Tamandua tetradactyla: one gene and its partner. The protein of the gene in region 1 interacts with the protein of each later gene in a pairwise test. Links are inferred from orthologs where the notes say so. Each region holds a gene or a part of one and is shown in the gene's direction. Other genes may lie near its edges.

Region 1 (10,143 bases):
CTAAAAATAGTGTTACAAAAGAATTGAAAGAGGGAATCAAACAGGTAGTTTCACACTGATATTCATAGCAGCATTATTCACAATTGCCAAAAGATGGAAGCAACCCAAGTATCTATCAATGGATGAATGGATAAACAAAATATGGTATATATCTACCACGGAATATTATTCAGTCATGAAAAGGAATGAAATTCTGATACATGCTACAACGTGAATGAACCCTGGAAATACCGGGTTGAGTGAAATAAGGCAAACCCAAAAGATTAAATATTGTATGATTCCACTGATATGAAATAACTAGAATAAACAAATTCATATTCTGAGTACAGGTTACCAGGGGCTGTGGTGGTAGCAGGGAATGGGGAGTTAATGCCTAATTGGTGCAGAGTTTTTGTTTAGGGTGATGGAAAAGTTTTAGTAATGGACGGTGGTGATTTTAGCACAACACTGTAAAAGTAATTAACACCACTAAATTATGTATTTGAATGTGGTTTAAAAGGGAAATTGTAAGTTGTATATATGTTAGAACAAAAATGTTTTTTAAAAAACTACATAGAATTTAGTTTGAAATGCTGGTGATAAATGAAAGTGAGGGGTAAGGGGTATGGTATGTATAATCTTTTTTTCTGTTATCGTTTTATTTCTTTTTCTGTGGTCTTTTTATTTCTTTTTCTAAATCGATGCAAATGTTCTAAGAAACGATGAATATGCAACTATGTGATGATATTAAGAATTACTGATTATATATGTAGGATGGAATGATATGTTAATATTTTTGTTTGTTGTTAATTTTTTAAATTAATAAATAAAAAATAAAAAATAAAACTATATAGAACTCAAAACTGCAAACAGGGGACCATGATATAAGCCATGGACAATAATTAATAGTAAAATTACAATAATATTCTTTCATCAGTTGTACCAAAGGTATCACACCAGCCCCCTGTGTTATAATAGGGGAAGGGGATATGAGAGGTTCATATTTTTTCTGTAACCTACACCTTCTCTATTAAAAAAGCTATTTGAAAAAAGATGTTAACCGTCGGGGAAATGCAAATCAAAACCACAATTAAATATAACTCCGTGTCCAATAGGATGGCTGTAATCAAATTTACAGTCAGCGACAAGTGCTGATGAGAACGTGGGAAACTGAAACCTCTCTATACTGCTGATGGGAATGAAAAATGGGAAGCTGCTTTGAAAATCAGTCTGATTATTCCTCAAATCACTAAACATAGAGTTGCCATGTAATCCAGCAATTCCACTCCAAAGCATGTACCCAAGAGGAATGAAAACACATGTTCATGCAAAAATATGTACGCAAATGTTCATAGAAACATTATTTATAAGAGTCAAAAAAAATGAAAATGACCCTAATGTCCATCACTTGATGAATGGATACACAAAATGTGGTACGTCCATGCGATTGGAATATTGTTCAGCCATGAGAAAGAGTGAAGCACTGACACCTGCTACAACGTGGATAAACCTTAAAAACATGCTAAGTCTAGAGCGTATAATGATGGTGACTAAGTGTACAAATCAAAAAAATGTTTTTGCGTGAAGAAGAGCAAAGGAATGTCATTACTGCAGGGTGTTGAAAATAGATGGTAATAAATATTTTAAAATATTAACTTTTATGTAAGACTAAAACAAAAATGCTTATTTGGTACAAAAAATTATATTTTGATTAGTGCATTTCCTAATATAACTTATGTAGTCAGCTTAATTGAACATTGTTAAGTACATGGAAGCTGAAGTAGGGCATGAGCTTTTGTTGGTTTGTCCAGAGTGATACCCCGATAAATCCCAGAGTGATTTGAACAGTGAATAAAAAAGTATTTGCCAAGTTCCCTTTGGGGAATGGTGAGAAAGGGGGAAAATTCAACTTCCCCAAGTTGAATTCTTGATATTCTCACAAGCAGTGTGGACAACCAAAGCAATAGGCTGAGCCCCCAATCTTGGGGTTTGTTCATATGAAACTTAACCCCACAAAGGATAGGTCAAGCCTACTTAAAATTAGGCCTAAGAGTCACCCCCAAGAGAACCTCTTTTGTTACTTAGATGTGGCCTCTCTCCAGCCAACACAACAAGCAAACTCACCACCCTCCCCCTGTCTACGTGGGACGTGACTTCTGGGGTGTGGACCTTCCTGGCAACATGGGACAGAAATCCTAGAATGAGCTGAGACTCAGCATCAAGGGATTGAGAAAACCTTCTCAACCAAAAGGGGAAAGAGCAAAATGAGACAAAGTGTCAATGGCTGAGAGATTCCAAACAGAGTCGAGAGGTTATCCTGGAGGTTATTCTTATGCATTAAATAGATATCACCTTGTTAGTCAAGATGTAATGGAGAGGCTGGAGGGAACTGCCTGAAAATGTGGAGCTGTGTTCCAGTAGCCATGTTTCTTGAAGATGATTGTATAATGCTATAGCTTTCACAGTGTGACTGTGTGATTGTGAAAACCTTGTGTCTGACTTAGGTTGACTTAGATTGAAATGCTAGTGATCAATGAAAGTGAGGAGTAAGGGGTATAGCATTTATGAATTTTTTTCTGTTGTCTTATTTCTTTTTCTGATTTGACGCAAATGTTCTAAGAAATGATCAGGATGATGAATGTGCAACTATGTGATGATACTGTGAGTTACTGATTATATATGTAGAATGGAATGATCATAAATTAAGAATGTTTGCATTTGTTTGTTGTTATATTTTTAAAAAAATTAAAAATTAATAAAAAAAGAAAAAAAACATGCTAAGTGCGAGAAACTAGTAACAAAAAGCGCCATGTTGTATGTGTCTATTTGAGACAGAAAGTGAATTAGTGGTTGCCAGAAGTTTGGGGTGGGGGCTGGAGGGGGGAAGGAGAATGGGAATTGGCTGCTAATAAGTGTGGGATTTCTTTCGGGGGTGATAAAAATGTTCTAAAATTGATCGTGATGATTGCCCACATTGATGGTTGTCCAAATCTGTGAAGACACTAAACACCGTTGCATCACACACTTTAAATGGGTGAATTGCATGGTATGCGAACTACATCTCCACAAAACTATTTTTAAAAGTTGAGGGGTGTCCCTCCCTTGGGCTTACCCACGGTAACCTTTCTAACACATACTCTCTCTTTTTTTTTATCAACTTCTTTCAGTAAACTTTACTATTTATGCCTACTGTCCCTCTCATCTCTAAATTCTTTTAGTTTCAAGACTGTTGAACCTGATCGGAGCTCAGCTGGCAGCATTGCTGGCAGGGCACTGGTTACATATTCAGGTGAGCCTGGCAGGAGTGATCCCAAAAGATCCCAGGAGAGCAGCATTTTCTACGTAAGACACTGGTCCTGGAGACCTGCATTCTGTTTGCAGTCAACTACAAATGAGAAAATCATCTTCAACAAAAAAAGACTTCTAAAAGAAGCAAGAGTACATCTAAACAGGACCTGCCCATCTGTTTGGAACAGCTCAATCTGGATAAATTACTAAAGAACTCCCGATTCAACTGTATACCAGCTTATGGGACAGATGTCCACGTTCAAGTGTGACTGGGGCATAATTATGTGACAAAATAAATGAACAGGGAGGCAAAGCAGCTCTAAATGTACTTGCCTTCCCCCAAATGCTTTTTTTTCCCCCTCATTTCTCAGCATTGCAAGCTGTAAACCTGTAACCTCCCTTTCCCACACTCAGGGACTTATGTGGAAGAAGTGGTGCAAAGATTGTAAGAGTGGTGGGATGGGGTGAATTATAATGATTTTTTTGTATTTTCCAACATCCCCCAGCCCTTCCATCATTGTTAGCAATTATGCGCATTCCCACATGTACTCTCTCAACTCTGAAAACATCAAACAGTTATCCCTCAACCCCTTTAAGATTAAAGAGATTGAATTCTTTCAGGGAGCAGATTGAAGCAGGATAAAATAGTACAACTGTAAGTCCCTGGTTTCCTATTCAGCTCTGAAAGAGTTAACAGGCAACTCTAAGTCCCTTGTTTCTTATCTAGCTCCGAGGATCTAACTCAGAGCTGCAGACTTCAGCTGCAAATCTCCCGGGACAAAAATGTCACTAAAACCCAAACATCCCCAAAACATTGAATCCTCCCCAAACTATAAAATCTTGTAAAATTCTGGGCCCAAAGCAAACTCTTACTTAATAATAGGAAACCTAAGGACATAAAGATTGTTAACCATTTGCCCAAAGACAATTTTAGGTTCGTGATAAGAAACCATGAATTCTGCTAGCTATGTCCTCCTAGAATAAAGAAGACATCTACTATTTAAAGGTTACTATGGAAACCCACCACCGATAAAACTTTCCTATAAAACAAGCTGGCCCACTCCATTCAGTGGGTGTCCCCCCTTGGGCACGCACGGGTTAACTTCTCTAACGTGTACCCTCTCTTTTTAATAAACTTCTCTTTTAATAAACTTTATTACTTTTGCCTACAAAAAAAGAAAGTTGAGGGATATCCCTAAATGGGACATGACTCCCAGGGGTGTAAATCTCCCCAGTAACGTGGGACAGGACTCCTGGGCATGAGCTGGGACCTGGCATTACGGCATTTATAACGCCTTCTTGACTAAATGGGAAAAGAGAAACGAAGCAAAATAAATTTTCAGTGGCTGAGAGATTTCAAAGAGTTGAGAGGTCATTCTAGAAGTTATTCTTATGCAGTATATAGACATCCCTTTTCAGTTTTTGGTGTATTGGAGTAGCTAGAGGGAAATACCTGAAACTGTTGAACTGTAATCCAGTAGCATTGATTCTTGAAGATGATTGTATGACTTTATACCTTTTACGGTGTGACCCTGTGATTGTGAAAACCTTGTGACAGACACTTTCTTTATTCAGTGTACGGACAGATGAGCAAGAAAATAAAGTCAAAAATAAATAAATACTAAGGGAAGGACATGGGATGTTTTGGGTGTTCTTTTTTACTTTTATTTCTATTGTTTTTGGAGTAATGAAAATGTTTCAATCATCATCGATTGTGATGATGAATGCACAGCTATATAATGATACTGTGAACCACCGATTGTACACTTTGGATGAGTCTATGTACGTGAATATATCTCTCAACACAGTTGCATTAAAAAAAACTTCGTGGACAGTGGGTCAGTTACAAGTGAGAACACTCATCTGCAATTAGGATGGCTGATTGGATGCTTCTATACGTCAGACACTATGCTCCCTGAATCCTTTCATCCTTCCTAAGAAATATGAATAATCATATCTGTTCTAGAGGAGGGCCAACTATGACGTAACTGGCCCTCACACTTCAGTAATTCGTCAACAGTCTTTTGCATTGTTCTAATACCTTAATACCCACAGGACTAAACAATAGCGCCAACATACAGGGCTTCTCCCTCGAGCTCATCCAATTCATATTTTTTACCTCTCAGTAAATCATAATGACAACGCAATAGGTCGATTCTTTCCTCGTTTCCAATTTACAGATGAGAAAACCGAGGCGCAGGGAGGTTGGTTAAGTTACTTCAAAGTTTCACAGCAAGGAAGTGGCAGGGGCACCCATTCCTTCTGACCCCGAAGCCCACGATAACCACTTCTCTTTATCGGTAACCTCTTTGGGTGAAACATTCACGGCCTATAAATTCAGACTGGGGAGTAGCATTTGCTAAACACAGAAGGATCTTTGTATTATCCTATTGAGTGGACAAAACAAGCTACAAAAAGAGTATAGATCTTATATTCTTACACTTAATTTTACAAATGTGCATATATGGAAGGGGGAGGCTGTAGAACAATTTCCATCTTCTACCTGTTAGAATTTCCTCAAGAGCTTTCTTACTTTTTTTTTTTTTGTAAGGGGAAGTTTTAAAAAAATATTCCAATCCCTAAATCATTCAAAACAAAACAAAACATCTTCTGGATGCAGAATTGTAGTTTTATTTAAAACCAACAAGCAGCACATCTCTAAAATCCGAAAACTTGTTAACCCAAAAAAGGACAAAAACGGGTTAACCAGCCATTTGCGAAATGCAGCTACACCAAGGAGCGCTAAAACCGAGCCAGGCGCTTGGATAGCTACACGAAAGGGCCCGGAACTCTCCCGCCGGACCCCAGGGGAACTACCCGGCCAGGGTAAACTTCCGGTGAGGAAACGACTTCCGTTCGGGGCAACCGATTCGGCCCGCTCTGGGCGGACCGGAAGTCCGTCACCTTTCACTCCCCGCCCTTGACTAGAAGTGACGCACGGCGGGGTTGCCGGAAGAAGTGGCGAAGTTAGTTTTGGAGGGGACCTAAGCAGTGGTAGCGCGCAAGGGGACAGAGCGGAGGAAGAGAAGCAGAGAAACGGGAACGAAGGCAGGTGCACCCGAGGGCAGAGGGGCGCCGGAGGAGTCCCGGGCCCGGCGTTTCCCGGCGTCCCCTGCGCTGCTCCGCTCAGCCTTTCTTCCACTCTCTCCCCTCCGTAGCTCGCATCGCCCCGGCTGTTTCCAAAGCAACGGGAGCCGGAGACCCCCACAAGAGGCCGCCTACGAGACCCCCGTGAGCAGCCATGAGCCCCGCCCCCTACTGGCGCTCGGAGAGGGGCGGAACCTGGAGCGAGGTGAGGGGCGGAGCATGATGGAAGGAGGTGGGGCCAAGGGCATGATGGGCGGGCTGGGGCGGGATCTGGAGCGAGTAATGGGGCGGGGCTTGGGAGGGGTACTGATGGCGTGAGCTTGGGGCCAGGTTATGGGCTGTGCATGATGGGCGGAGCCTGATGGAAAGAGGTGGGGTCAGGATGAGAGGGGGTAGCTTGTGGGAGGTGGAGTCTCTGAGTGGGAGTAGGTGGGGTGTGAGGGAAGGGAGGAAATGAGGGCGGGGCATCATTAAGGGGTGGGACCTGGAACCGGCAGGTGGGCGGGATAGGGACCGGGTGGCTGGAAGCTGTCCTGGAGCAGGGGAAGAGGCGTGGCTTGCTAGACTAGGAGGGGAGGATTTGTATGCTGGTAGGGTTCTGGCCTGGGGCTGGGGTGGAGTTTGAATGAAGTTGGATGGAGTTGGAGGAAGGTATTGGGTCCCAGTCGGGCTGGTAACTTGTACCACCTGACCCCTTGTGGTCCCACAAGCCCTTTCTTTAACCCTGTCTGTTCTGTAGGCTGCTCCGTGACCCCACCATGTCCACTCCTAGCACCAGTTCCTTGGACAACCCCCTGCCTGGTGAGTGACCTCCTTTCCCACCCAGCCTCTATTACACACAATCAGAAGATGCTCACTCAGTCTCCTTCTGTTTCCTCCCTTCTCCCAGGAAATGCACCCCCTCAGCCCGGTGTCCCCTCTTCTTCCCCTGCCATAAAGGAAGAAGGTCCAGAGCCGTGGACTGGGGGTCCGGACCCTGATGTCCCAGGCACTGATGGGGCAGGCTCAGCCTGCAGTGTGGGTGAGACAGGACCCAGGGGTCAGGAAGTTCACCTGGGGAGTCTGGGAGGGATTTCGGGAGAAAGTGCAGAGACTGGAAGGGTGAGACGGGATTTTTTCCCTTCTGTTCCTCCTTGACATCTCTTACTTTGACTCATTCTTTGGGGTTCACCCACACCTCTTTTTTCCTCTGAATCCCTGCCTCCCTGGGTATATGCATCTCTCTTCCTGTCTGTTGGTTCTTTGTTGGAATTCCTTGGGGCCGACCTCTCTGGGTGCTCTCTCTGAGGCTCTCCTCACGATCTCTGTCCACCCACCACAGTCACCCCATACCCAGTGGAAGAGCCAGAGCGCAAGCGGAAGAAGGGTCCGGCTCCGAAGATGCTGGGCCATGAACTGTGCCGGGTGTGCGGGGACAAGGCCTCTGGCTTCCACTACAACGTGCTCAGCTGCGAAGGCTGCAAGGGCTTCTTCCGGCGCAGTGTGGTCCGCGGTGGGGCTGGGCGCTATGCCTGTCGGGGCGGTGGCACCTGCCAGATGGATGCCTTCATGAGGCGCAAGTGCCAGCAGTGCCGGCTGCGCAAATGCAAGGAGGCAGGAATGAGGGAGCAGTGTGAGTGCTGGGATTGAGGGAGCAGAGCCAGTCTGGTCCCCACCCAGCTTGGGACCTCTGCTGAGGCCTGCATCTCCCCACAGGCGTCCTCTCTGAAGAACAGATCCGGAAAAAAAAGATTCGGAAGCAGCAGCTGCAACAGCAGCAGCAGCAGCAACAGTCGCCCGTGGGGCCAGGGGGCAGCAGCAGCAGCAGCAGCAGCAGCAGCTCAGCCCCTGGGTCTGGGGCCTCTCCTGGAGGGTCAGAGGCCAGCAGCCAGGGCTGTGGGGAAGGCGAAGGGGTCCAGTTGACGGCGGCTCAGGAACTGATGATCCAGCAGTTGGTGGCAGCCCAGCTGCAGTGCAACAAGCGTTCCTTCTCAGATCAGCCCAAAGTCACGGTACTGCCCCTTCCACCGCCTCAAGGAGCAAGTAGCATCTGGCTAGCTTCAGCCCAGGGCTTGGGGAGGGAGGGAGGCTTGAGAGTCCAGGGGCTTTGAGAGGAGAGTACCCCCAGGTGCAGGCTCTGCCTCAAGATGCCCTCCAGTGTTGGGCTCAAGGGAAGAGTACTGGGAGTGACCATAGTCCCCATGTCCCCAGCCCTGGCCCCTGGGTGCAGACCCCCAGTCCCGCGATGCCCGCCAGCAGCGTTTCGCCCACTTCACGGAGCTGGCCATCATCTCGGTCCAGGAGATCGTTGACTTTGCTAAGCAGGTGCCCGGTTTTATGCAGCTGGGCCGTGAGGACCAGATCGCCCTGCTGAAGGCGTCCACCATTGAGGTAAGGGCTGAGTGCCCAGCCTTGTGGGCTCTCCCTTTCGGCTTCCAGGAGCTCCAAATAAACCCAGGACAGGTGCTGGGAACAGCAGCACGCAGGAACCCCCTCTCCTTGCCCTCTTGGGAGAAGATTACGTCAAACACAGAAACAAGAAAGTCAGGCTGTGTGGCCCCAAGGAGAGAAAGGGGAGAGGGCTAAGGTGGGGAGTAGTTGAATGGACTGAAGGGACCCATTTAGAGAGAGTGTGCTGAGAAGGCTTTTCAGAAGGGTTGATGTCAGGATCAAACAAGTAGATGCTGAGTGCCTGCTTTATGTCAGGCCCTGTCCTAGGTGCTGGGGATAGAGCAGTGAGCAAATCCAAAGCCCCCCTGCCTGCCTCGCCAGAGTCTGGGGAAAGTGAGTTTTGGGTGGTGGGCACAAGTGTGATATTGCTTGGAGGAGGGACAAGTGTGGAGTGTGTCGGGTGCAGGCCTGAGCCAGTGGGGCTGAGTGAGTGGGGGGTGGAAGGGCCAGGAGAAGTGGGCACAGGGGTCCCTGCAGCCTGCCGCTGCCCACCCCGTTCCCCTGTGCCCTCAGATCATGCTTCTGGAGACAGCCCGACGCTACAACCATGAGACCGAATGCATCACCTTCCTAAAGGACTTCACCTACAGCAAAGATGACTTCCACCGTGCAGGTGGGCTGTGGCCCGTGGAGGCTGACACATCCGCTTCTGCACCTCCTGAGGTGGGGGGTGGGGCAGGGGAGAGGGAGCCAACCTGGCAGTGGGGCTTCTGGACTCAGCCTCCACTGAGTGCCAGCTGTGTGCACAACAGACCCAGTAGAGCATGAGTCACAGGGTCTCTGTTCCCCCGTGGGGCATCTTGGTGGGAATTAAGAACCCTATCCCCACTCTCCACTGGGTCTCCGTCTCAGCGGAGGGAGGGCAGGCTGGGTGTCGGTCTGCAGTGAAGTGCACGACCCACGCAGTCCCTGCCCTCCGACAGTATTCCCCTAGGGTCTGTGATGTGGGCAGGTGGGCTCCCTGCAGGAGACGCAGTTACACTGAGGCCTGAGGAAGGAGAGGCATTGCGGAGGAAAAGGGGGTGGGGATAGGGTTGCTCGCTAAGGCACAGCAGGCACAAAGGCTTTGCTCCTTCTCTGGACTTTTCTGGCGAGTCCACCTTCTCTGCTGCCTCTGCCTGAGTCCCCTCTCTGTTTTCTCAAACATCCACTCCTAGACCCAACTCCTTTTATTCCTTAATCCCCCACCCTCCATACCACCCAAGATGGTCCCAGAAACCCTTTGAGTATGAGCCTGGCCTGGGCAGGGAGTCCTTAGGGTCTCCAGTGTTTACAGTGGTGGGGATGGGGTGGAGAAGGGGATCATGTGCATAGGTCCTGAGGTGGAGAAGAGCCAGATGTGTTTGAGCAACTGCAGGG
Region 2 (10,802 bases), on another chromosome or scaffold:
ATGTCATCTGTTGCTGATTACATCTGCAGTTGGCTAGGAGGTATGCCTACTGCAATTAATGATGTTTAACTTAATTGGCTGATGCTTAAATGAGAAAGCTCAATGTAGCACAACCCAAGCAGCTCAGCATACCTCATTTCAGCACTCGCAGCTCAGCCCAGGCCTTTGGAGATGTAGAAAGGAATCACCCTGGTGAAAGTTGTTGGAACCCAGAGGCCTGGAGAGAAGGCCAACAGAGATTTTCCTGTGCCTTCCCACATAAGAAAGAACCTCAGATGAAAGTTAGCTGCCTTTCCTCTGAAGAACTAATGAAATAAATCCCCTTTTATTAAAAGCCAATCCATCTCTGGTGTGCTGCATTCCAGCAGCTAGCAAACTAGAACAGATCTGGTACCAGGAGTGGGGTGCTGCTGTGGTTTGCAAATAACAGATATGTTGGAATGGTTTTTTGGATGGCTAAGGGGAAGATTTTGGAGGAACTGTGAAGAGAATGATGGAGAATTCCTGGAGTGCTTGACAAGACTGTTGGTGTAAATGGAACTACTGCCAGTCTGGACAAAGGGGGATACAAAGGGACAAATTGGAGTTTGCAGAGTGAGAACCATGGAAACTCGGGTCTGAAGCCAAGGAATGTCAGCCAGGAGAGTGGACCCACCCATATACATGGAGAGAGTGAGTTTGCCCTGAGGGCAGAGGATGAGTCTCCCACCTTGTTGCAGTGGAAGAGTTGTGCAGCCTTAGGCCTTGAAAAAGGTATAGCATGATCCTTGGGGACTGGGGAGAGTCTGGCTGCCACCAGATGGAGGGGTTGAACATGTGCCCCAGAAATGGCAAAGAGCCCAGGGGAGGTCCTGATGCCTGGAGAGAGTGGAGCCGAGAAAAAGGTGGTCTCCATAATGTTCCCCAAGGTTTATTTAGAAAGAGGCAGGCCACTGCATAGACCCTTGGAAAGGGTGAGACTGCCACGTTCTAAAGCCAAAGGATAAATGACTTTCAGACTTTGAAATCCAATGGTCTTTGCCCTGCAGGCTTTACATCTGTGTTTCTTCCAATTTCTCCCTATGGAAATGAAAACCCGCATCCTGTAAATATCCTCCTTTGCATATTGGCACCAGACAACTTGTTTTGAGATTCACAGATCCACAGCCAGAAGAGAATTATTTGCACCTTAATATTGTTTAAGGTGATGCATGTAGTTGCCAAGTTGACAAGAGGTGGACATGTGGTAGTTAGATTCAGTTGTCAACTTGGCCAAGTGAAGGCACCTAGTTCTGTTGCTGTGGACATGAGCCATCTGTTGCTGATTGCATCTGCAATTGGCTAGGAGGTGTGCCTGCTGCAATGAATGATGTTTAACTTAATTGGCTGGTGCTTAAATGAGAGAGCTCAACGTAACACAGCCCAAGCAGGTCGGCATACTTCATTGCAGCACTCGCAGCTCAGCCTAGGCCTTTCGAGATGTAGAAAGGAATCACCCTGGTGAAAGTTGTTGGAACCCAGAGGCCTGGAGAGAAGGCCACAGAGATCATCCTGTGGCTTCCCACATAAGAAAGAAACTCAAATGAAAGTTAGCTGCCTTTCCTCTGAAGAACTAATGAAATAAATCCCCTTTTACTAAAAGCCAATCCATCTCTGGTGTGTTGCATTCCAGCAGCTAGCAGACTAGAACACTAGAGTTGGTTTGTTTCCAAAATACAAACTGAGAATACTTTATTCCATTTCCAGAAAGGTGGTGACTAACCCAAAGTCACACAGTTAATGGCAGACCTAGTATCTCCTGGTGGTCCAAACTTGCTTAGGATTGGGTGGGCAAGTCAGTTACATTCTGGAATAAAGTATTAGCAAATCCTCCATTGCTATAGAGCTAAGGCAATTTCTCCAATCCAGGTTTTACCAGTGATAATCTGGTATTCTAATCTCCATCTGTCTGACTCCTATCAATCAGTTTACATCTGCAGTGCTATTTGTTGGCCCTCTAAGACCTAACAAGCTGCAGCCACAAATAGTATATATAATGACTTTCCAAATCTCATTTTAATCCAACAAATTTTTATCGTGCTCCTACTAAGAGTCAAGTATTAGTCTAAGTATTAGGAATATAAAGGTGAATAAAACATACACCCTTGCTCTCATGGAGCTTACATTTATAAAACATTACAAACATCAAACAAATACCACCTGTGATTATGTACTTGACTATACAATTACAGCTGTCAAAGAAATTTTAAAGGAAAGTTTTAGGGTCTATGGGACCATACAATGGGTGGGGTGGAGAGAAACCTAATCTAGAGTGAAGGATCATGGAGAAATGACCCAGAAAGTGAAATTCCAAAATTAGTGGGAGTTTGCTAGGCAAAGAGTCAAGGGAAGGGAGAGAAAATAGCATGTGCAAGGTCCAGTGACAGGAAATAGGCACATTATAGTTAGGGCAAGTCAAATTGTATGGAATGTATGTGTGTGAAGACTTCTCAATAAAAATATTTTTTTAAAAAAGGAACATCTTTAAAAAACAAAAAAACTTTGCTATGAGACTTCCACTCCTTATTAACATGATGAAATAGATAGCAGATTTATCCTCCTAGCTGAAACTAAAAAACTAGATAATATATAAGAAATAATGACAAAACTAGACAATGTATATGAAAAAAATTGAATGTATTAAGCAAAGACATTGAAGGTATAAAAAGATTCAAATTGAACTTATGGAGATGAAAACTATATGGTTTGAGGTACAAACTACAATGGACAGGATCAATATTAATTAGATGCTGCAAAAGAAAAGCTTAGTGAACTTGAAGACATAGCAATACAAACTATTCAAAATAAAATACAAAGAGGAAAAGATGTGTTAAGAAAACAAAGTAAAACAGATTTTCAGTGAACTGTAGGACTGCAGGATAACATTCTCCTGTTATATGACCCAGTCTTTCAGCACCTAAGCATTATATCCATACAAACACTTATAAATTAATGTTCACAGTAGCTTTATTTGTAATAACCCAAACTGGAAACAACCCAAGTTAAGTGGACAAAATAAAAAAAAAAAAAAAAAAATTGAGGGTTATCCATACAATGGAATACTACCCAGCAATAAGAAAGAATGAAGTACTGATACATTCAACAACATAGGTGAATCTAAAAATAAAGATGCTGCATGAAAAAAGGCAAACCAAAAAGGTGTGTGTGTGTGCATGTATATATATACATCGGGATTATATTTATAAACAAATTCTAGAACATACAAATGAATCTGTAATGACAGAAAGCAGATCAGTGGTTGCCTAGAGGAGGAAGGCAAGGAGAGGTGGAAGGGAGGGGAGAAGTACAAAGAATCAGGAGGAAACCTGAAAATTTTAGAGGTGATGGTATGTTTCTCATCTTGACTTGGGTGATGGATCCTAGGCTGTATATATGTGTGTGTATGTCAAAACTTATCAAATTGGATATTTTAAACTTTTGTTCCTTATTGGATCTCAATCATACCTTAATGAAATTGAAATAAGTAAATAGATAATAAATTAATAAGACTTTGAAACAAAGGAAAGAAAAGGCTCAACAGCTGGGAGATGCTGGGTTGAGCAACCGTTGTTTTTGTTTTTGTTTTTCTGGGTCTTGGTTTCGCTTTGTGTCTTTTCTGGTACAAATCCAAGCAAGTTTGTAAACTGAGGGAGGGAATAGGAAACTAAATGAAAAAGTGGAGGTAATTGATGGAGCAAGGTTCTGAGAGAGAAGAGATAGAATGTTCAGAGAAAGGCAAGGACTAGTTTGGACTAGAGAGGAGGGTACTATTGTACTCCTACCAGCAGGGCTCCCCTCGTGGTTTTTTTATCCTCCATTTGCTGAACCCTGGGAATAAGTTCTCATTCTTGGATACCAGTGACATTATCTTAATCTAAATTAATTGAAGTTGCCTAGTTCTTCCCACTGGAGAGTGACATATGTCCTCAGAAGTAAGTTCTCCCAAATTCAATGGTTCCTTCTAGGTCCAGGCTTAACTCATGTGAATCTATGACACACTCTAAAACTAAGATTATTTTTTGGAAAAGTGGACTGTGCCTTTCCATTTGTTAAGAAAGAGCCCTACAGTGAATGGTGTTTTGCTGTTTTACCAGAAGTTCTTTCCGATGAATGCCCTCTGAGCTCCACTGAGAGCTGCGATCTTTGTGTTCCTGTCACTTTATGTGGAACAGAGAAATTATATGGAAAAGGAAGCAGTCATCTGAAAGAAAGCAATCTGGGTCTTCAAAATTTATAATCTGGTTGGTTGTGTCTGTGTGTGTTAGCACTGCTCAGTGCGTAGTAATTGATATTTAATTCAGTGCTCTCCAAACAATACAAAAACAAAGTGGCCGTTTAACGAATCCCTTGTTATTTAGCATTTAAACAACTTGAACAAAGTTTTGATTTCCTAACATCGAATCTTAGTAACAGTCAACCTTCTAGGAGTGTTAATTTCAGAACCTTAAGACCACAGTCTACTACATAAAATCCTGATCCTTTAAAAATAGTTTCTGTGGTTTTTCATGTTCATTCAACAAATACTGTGTGCAAATTAACGTTGATTGTTTTTACCTGTTTTCATTTCAGTTATAACTTACATTCTCATTCCACGTTAATTGAACATACTTAAGACTATCCTGGCTCTAGCAAATAAAGGAGAATTTGCTGCTCATTTAACTACCGGCCACTGCAGACCAAAATTTTTCTAGCGATTGCGCTGTACAGGGTCTCCAGACTCTCGAAGCATGGCTCTTTTCCAGCAAATCGGGGAAATGAGTTTACTGTATTTCGCTTCTGGAGTTCTGAATCTCCACACCCTTAGGGGTGCCGATCCAGCCGGGCTCGCTGCATTTGGGCGAGAACTTGAGGAAAGCTGGTCTCCCAGAATAATTAGCTGGGGAAAGATGCCAAAGAGGCCGAAGTCACGGAAGTAGGTTCTCAATCTCTCGGGGGGCGGCATTTGGACCCTCTAGCTCTGGACTTCAGGTAGCCGGGATTGACCTGCATTAAGCGCAGGAAAATCTGTTCGCCTAGTTGCTACTTCCTTCAAAAGCGCGGAGTTATGCCCGGAGTAGCTGCCGAGTGGCTCCTGGAGCTGCTCCACCCAATTGAAGGGCTTGGGTATCCCTGTTCGGGTGTCCAAACGGTTGGTGGTCTCTGGGACCGCGACAAATATGACCTGGGCTGCGCCTTGCCTCACGGCTACTGATCTCGGCAGGATTAGACGGGCATGAAAGAAAGAGGGGTTTGGGGCTTCGCGGACAGGCAGGGTTTTGAACTTTAGTGTTCCCCGGAGCCTAGGAGAGCGCGCGCTCGCTTGCATCTTCAGCGACACCCCCTTCCCTGGGCAGGGTTGAGGGCGGCGGAGTTGGAATGTGAGGAGTGACTCCTAAGGCGAAGCTTGTGCGGCTGCCGCTCCAGCCCCCTCCCCCCGCCGCGAGTCGGAGGCGGGAAGCTGCGGGGTGGGAGTCACCCGAGCGTAATTGCCCAAGGCCCCTCCTGCTGCGGCGAGGAAGCGCCATAAAAGCCCCGCTGCGACGGCTCTAGACATCCGATCCACCGGTTCACACCCCTTGGAGAGGCGCGCCTGACAGCAGAGCACTTGCCGCCCATCCTACTCGCGACCACCGGCCTGCCAGCCACAGTGAGTGTCCAACCCCAGCCTGACCTGGAGCTGGAGCGTAGGGGGCGCCCATTCACTTGCCCCTGGTGCTCTGTCACTTTTTTGCGGTGTCCGGGAGCCCCGGGGATCCTGGAAGAGTCGCGTCGGGCTCCCCGGCCCTGCGCGCCCCTCGAGCCCCGACACGCGCCAGTCCATTTTGATTGCTAAAGTTCACTTGCTCCTTCGGATCCCCTGTGATCGTCCATTCTCTCTTCTCCCTGGCTCTCCCGGCTGGGTGGTCTTTTGGAGTAATCTTTTGGCGGCAAGGAGGGGAAAATACGAGACCCTCATCCCAGAGTAGGTGGCGGTTTTCCTGGGGGTCGCCGCCAGAATTCCCAGAGAGCGGCGCGTGGGAGGGAGGTTCCCCAGGCAACGCCCCTGAATGAAGAATCCCGGGCACTCGGGGTGCTGGGAATCATCGGGATCCAAACCGAGACTGGCTATGCCAGGGAGCAATTCTCCCCCGATCACCTCCATCCCCACCCTACCTCCGCCCCTCGCAAATCTGCCACCCAAGGTAAGCTCAGCCATCACTGTCGAGGTTCCTCCCTGCACAAGAGGGACCAGAAGTAACAGAGAAGAAAGTTTTATCCACCCACATGGGTTTGGAGATGAGGGTAGGAAAATAATCATCCTTCAGAACACGGAGAGGAATTCTAATTTTGTTTAGAAGTATCCAAATCGGCGCCAGGGCCTCCACCCTGAGCCGCGCGACTTACCACTGAGTTGCAGAGTTTTCTGGAGAAGCCGAGGGCCCGGCCAGGGCAGGTACCTGAGAGTCCTGAGCCGGCGGGACGGAGCTCACCACGCTCGGGTTCCCTCTGCTGGACTAGGTCAAGGGCGCGGATTGGGGGTCGTGGTTGGTAGCAGCCCGAGGGACTTAGTGGAATCAGAGCAGGGAGGTGCGCGCGTGGGACCTCGGAATTCCGAAGCCCCTTCCGATGCGCCTTGTGTCACAGATGCTGGGTAGCAAGCGACTGGGGCTGTCCGGACTGACGCTCGCCCTGTCCCTGCTGGTGTGCCTGGGCGCGCTGGCCGAGGCGTACCCCTCCAAGCCCGACAACCCTGGGGAGGACGCGCCCGCGGAGGACATGGCCAGGTATTACTCGGCGCTGCGGCACTACATCAACCTCATCACCAGGCAGAGGTGAGTGGACTCGACGGTACCCGGTCCCAGGTGCATCTCGCTTGCACAGCCTGAGACTCTGGGGATCTTAGGAACCGGGACCGTTTCTTTTTCTTCGCTGTATCCCAGAACCAGGAACAATATCAAACGCAATCAAGCTATTCACTAAATGTGCCCGTGGGCCACTAGGTACTGCACTTGCAGTTTGAAACTACAGTCGCAAAATCGTGATTCCCTGTTTCCCCAGACTGTGTGTCTGGCCATTTCCTTTTACCTGTCACCCCCGTGCCAATTTTGTTCTTCAAGCGCATAGGGGCCTGATTAGAAACCTGGATTGGAAAGCGCGGTGAAAGCAGACAGGAGTGCACCAGGAAAATGCTGGAGGGGAGGTGGGAGGAAAGTGTCTAGAAAACAAGACAGAACAAAACAACCTCAAGGAAACTGCTGGGTTGTCAAAGACACTGATGGGTTTTTCAACCTACCCAGGGTCGACTGAAGGATAATAGGTAGGAGAAGAAAATAGGGCTATATTATTTCTTCTGTTCAGTGTTTTTTGTTTGTTTGTTTGTTTGTTTGTAGTCTCAACCATTTACTTGAAACTTTCAGTTCCAATAATGAGCGATTTAGCATGAAAACAGATAATCTAAAATGCAGACTGTCCTGTTTATAGCAGGTGAATTCTGAAAAGAAAGTGTTCACTTGGTGCTTTACTCTGAACCCCCAGAAAGTCAAAACAAAATGTCACATTTTCACTCTCAACACTGAATAGTAGGCAAAAAAAAAAAGCAAATTCAAACTATTTTACAAATAATATAGGATTTGCCATTAGTTTTCAAAGTACATTCCCCTGACTTCTAAGTCATATCTTATTTTAATGTCTAAAGTCAAATGACTTGAATAAGATACAAAGTATGAGCCTGTTGGAAGCATTAATGTTACCTAACATGTTTCAATTGCTTTAGAAAGCATTTTTTAAACCATATTTTCACTGTTTACAAGTCAGGGAATAATATGAAAAACTCCGAAGGGGGCAAATTTATACTTTTAAAATAAAGTTTCTTTTAACTTTTTCATTAAAGAGGGGTGTAACATCCTGAAAAGTGTTTAGTCCCAATTTATAGAACATCAGAAATACATGAAAATGACAGAATTGTATAGTATTGTCTTGTAATCCCTTGAAATCTGATATGTTTAATTAGGGAAAAGTATAATGTTATTGCTTTACATTCTCATTTATGCTATCATACAGATTGGAGATGGGGGAGATTTGTACAAATAATAATTTTTTAAATAAAAATCACAGCTGTTATTTTTTTCTAGGAAAACCTTTGATTATTTCAGTAATAGAGTTCTATACAGTAGAATTTATTTTTTAAAGATGATTATCATTGCCCTTTTATAAATCTTTAGTATTTCAAAATGTTTTCCCAGGCATTATCTCATTTAGTTTTTCCCTCTAAGGTTTGAAGTAAGTATAAGTATCTCTATTTCACAGATCATGAAACTAATGACATTTCATGGAAAGTTTTTTTAAGGGGTGATGGAATTGGAGCCACCCTATTGATTTTCCTTGGATGTTGTCACCACCATTAGCAGTCATGATCCCCAATATCTTTAATTAGGAAAAAAAAAAAAAAGAGGAAAGGGACTTGAGTTTCTTGGGAAGGGATGTGGGATCGATGGGAACAAGCCATTCTTGAGGCAGAGCTTCCAGTGTAGAATGTTTTCACCCTGAGAGGAAATAGTAGGTTGAGATCACATGGGGCACCGTCCTTCCTTTGTTTTTTCCAAGAAATGATACGGCACTTTGTTCATGTACAGGCCAGAAAGTGAAGGTTTGTTCTTAGAGATTTCTCGCTCTCTATTTTCAGAATTCACAAAATTTCTTAACACACAAAATTACATCTGGTTTAGCAGAGATGTGGTCTTACCTATCTAATCATCCTTATAAATTCCTTCTTAGAAAACATCAGAGGCTTATAATCTGCACCCATCATCTCCATTCTCTACTCTCATTCCTTCTACCACAGAAACTCACTTAAATGTGTTGGGCAATATATCCTTGAAGATATACACATCTTTGAAAATAGTGTCGTTGTGTGAATATATGTTTTAATTTGGCATAAATGTTAGTCTGATGTAGATATCATTATCTTCCTCTTTCTCTTTAGTCCCAGTGTTTAAACCATATTCCTACTGCTGTATATACCTCTAGTTCATTGCTTCTGAAAACTGCATCTTTTTCTGGAGTATGAACCTACAACATTTTGCTTATACAAATCTCAACAGGGGTTCTCAACTGGGTGGGGGTGATTTTACCTTCTCACACCCCTCGGGACATTCGGCAAAGCCTGGAGACATTTTTGGTTGTCACACCTGGAGGGGGTTGCTACTGTCATCTATTTAATAGAGGACAGGATTCAAACATCCTGCAGTGCACAGGACAGCCCCTGCAACAAACAATTACCCCGCCCAAAATGTCAATAGCACTGAAATTGAGAAGAAACCCTGCCCTAGATTAGTGTTTCTCCATCATGTTTGCACAATAGAGTCACCTGGGGAGATTTAAAAATACAAGGAATCTGGGCTCCATCCCTGCCGAATTAAATCAGAATCTCTGAGGGTGGAAGTTGGAGCCTGGGCTTTGTAGGGCTTTAAAAGAATCTCCCCAGGTGATTGTAATATGCAGCCAGGTTTGAGAATCTTTATCCTAGGGACTCAATAAACACATAGTAGAGAAGAAGGAAAGTCCAGAAGTAAGAAAAGGAAGAAGAGTGAACTAGGCTATCCTAGATGCTACTTGTTTTAGGCCTATGCAAATCCTCCCTTATAGATTTTAGCTTCTTTATTGGTAAATCACAGAAAATATTTGCCACTTCTTTTCTTTATGGAGCATAAGGTAGATACATGAGTTAGTCCAGAGTTTTAATATTAATAAAATCAATGATGGACAGAATATATAAATATAGGCAGCAGTTTATGGTCTGATACCACAACCCCAGAATTCTTGGTGGAAATCTTACAAATGATGGGAGGTTTGGGGGCTCAGGTTTGATTTGTTTTTGCTTCCCTTGAATCTTAGCAGAGAAGCAATAATAGGAAAATCCTGACCAAAATTTTAGATTTGACTGTGGTCATTAGGCAGTTAGGGTGCACCTTCTCTCAGTTTTGTCCAGCACTTTTACCTATTAGTTAATGATTCCATGAAAAGGCTAATTTTTCAACTGTGAAGAAACTGCTGTGTGAAAGAGAAAATAGACTCTAAAAATGCAGTTTGGTATAGACTTGTCAAAATCCTTTGCTGAGAGAGGGAGTGAGAGACACCACAATACTCACTCACCTGGAGCAGGTAGTATATACAACCTGGGCAGGTAAACATGATTTTCGCTAATTTATTGTCCTATCCATATCCTGGTACAGGAGAAAAAAGACCAAGAACATTTATTGATTAGTAGGATTCTTTCTGATATTTACAGAGCAGGTTAAAATCACAGCGTCAGGGAGGCTTTTGGCTATTGATACCCCTAATTAAATGGGAAATATAGGACCCAGGAGCTATTGCTAGCTGTAAAAGAAAGAGTGCATTACAGCAGCAGTAACTTGCATTTGTGTATCAATGTCACTTTCAAAGCATTGTGACACACATTTCTCTTGGATCTACACAAAGACTGATTTAAGAAGGGGTGATGATTTTATTTTTACAAATGAGGAAGCTAAGCCTCAAAGACAACAGTGAGTCTAGAATGATTTCTTTTCTAGGTATGTTCCTAAAAAAAATTCTAGTGATATTTCTAAAATATCTCTTTATGAAGATTTAAGCTCCTCTGTGTCACCAGAACTTTAGCCAACTAATTATGGAAGAAAATGTAAATCATTCTCTGATGTGGTCTTATTTCCAGTCACCCAGTTATATAATTTTATCTATATAGGTATTGTTTGTGATAGCATGAAAAGATAAGAATTTGCTAGACATTTTGGTTGGGTTTAAACAACTTATTAAGCTATTTATTGAAT

Evidence for each region.
Region 2: the proteins of NR1H2 (region 1) and NPY interact in a two-hybrid assay, tested with the Homo sapiens proteins (3 studies listed by BioGRID and IntAct). The link is inferred for Tamandua tetradactyla from reciprocal best matches to the Homo sapiens genes NR1H2 and NPY.

What each region holds. Positions count from the first base shown.
Region 1 is NC_135342.1:10,831,550-10,841,692, reverse strand, and holds the start of NR1H2 (oxysterols receptor LXR-beta), read left to right. Parts: upstream 1-6,132; 5' UTR 6,133-6,233; intron 6,234-6,425; 5' UTR 6,426-6,559; intron 6,560-7,093; 5' UTR 7,094-7,112; coding exon 7,113-7,155; intron 7,156-7,243; coding exon 7,244-7,375; intron 7,376-7,675; coding exon 7,676-7,966; intron 7,967-8,049; coding exon 8,050-8,345; intron 8,346-8,544; coding exon 8,545-8,724; intron 8,725-9,297; coding exon 9,298-9,397; intron 9,398-10,143. UniProt on the Homo sapiens protein: Nuclear receptor that exhibits a ligand-dependent transcriptional activation activity. Binds preferentially to double-stranded oligonucleotide direct repeats having the consensus half-site sequence 5'-AGGTCA-3' and 4-nt spacing (DR-4).
Region 2 is NC_135327.1:99,322,546-99,333,347, reverse strand, and holds the start of NPY (pro-neuropeptide Y), read left to right. Parts: upstream 1-6,057; 5' UTR 6,058-6,104; coding exon 6,105-6,179; intron 6,180-6,621; coding exon 6,622-6,809; intron 6,810-10,802. UniProt on the Homo sapiens protein: NPY is implicated in the control of feeding and in secretion of gonadotrophin-release hormone.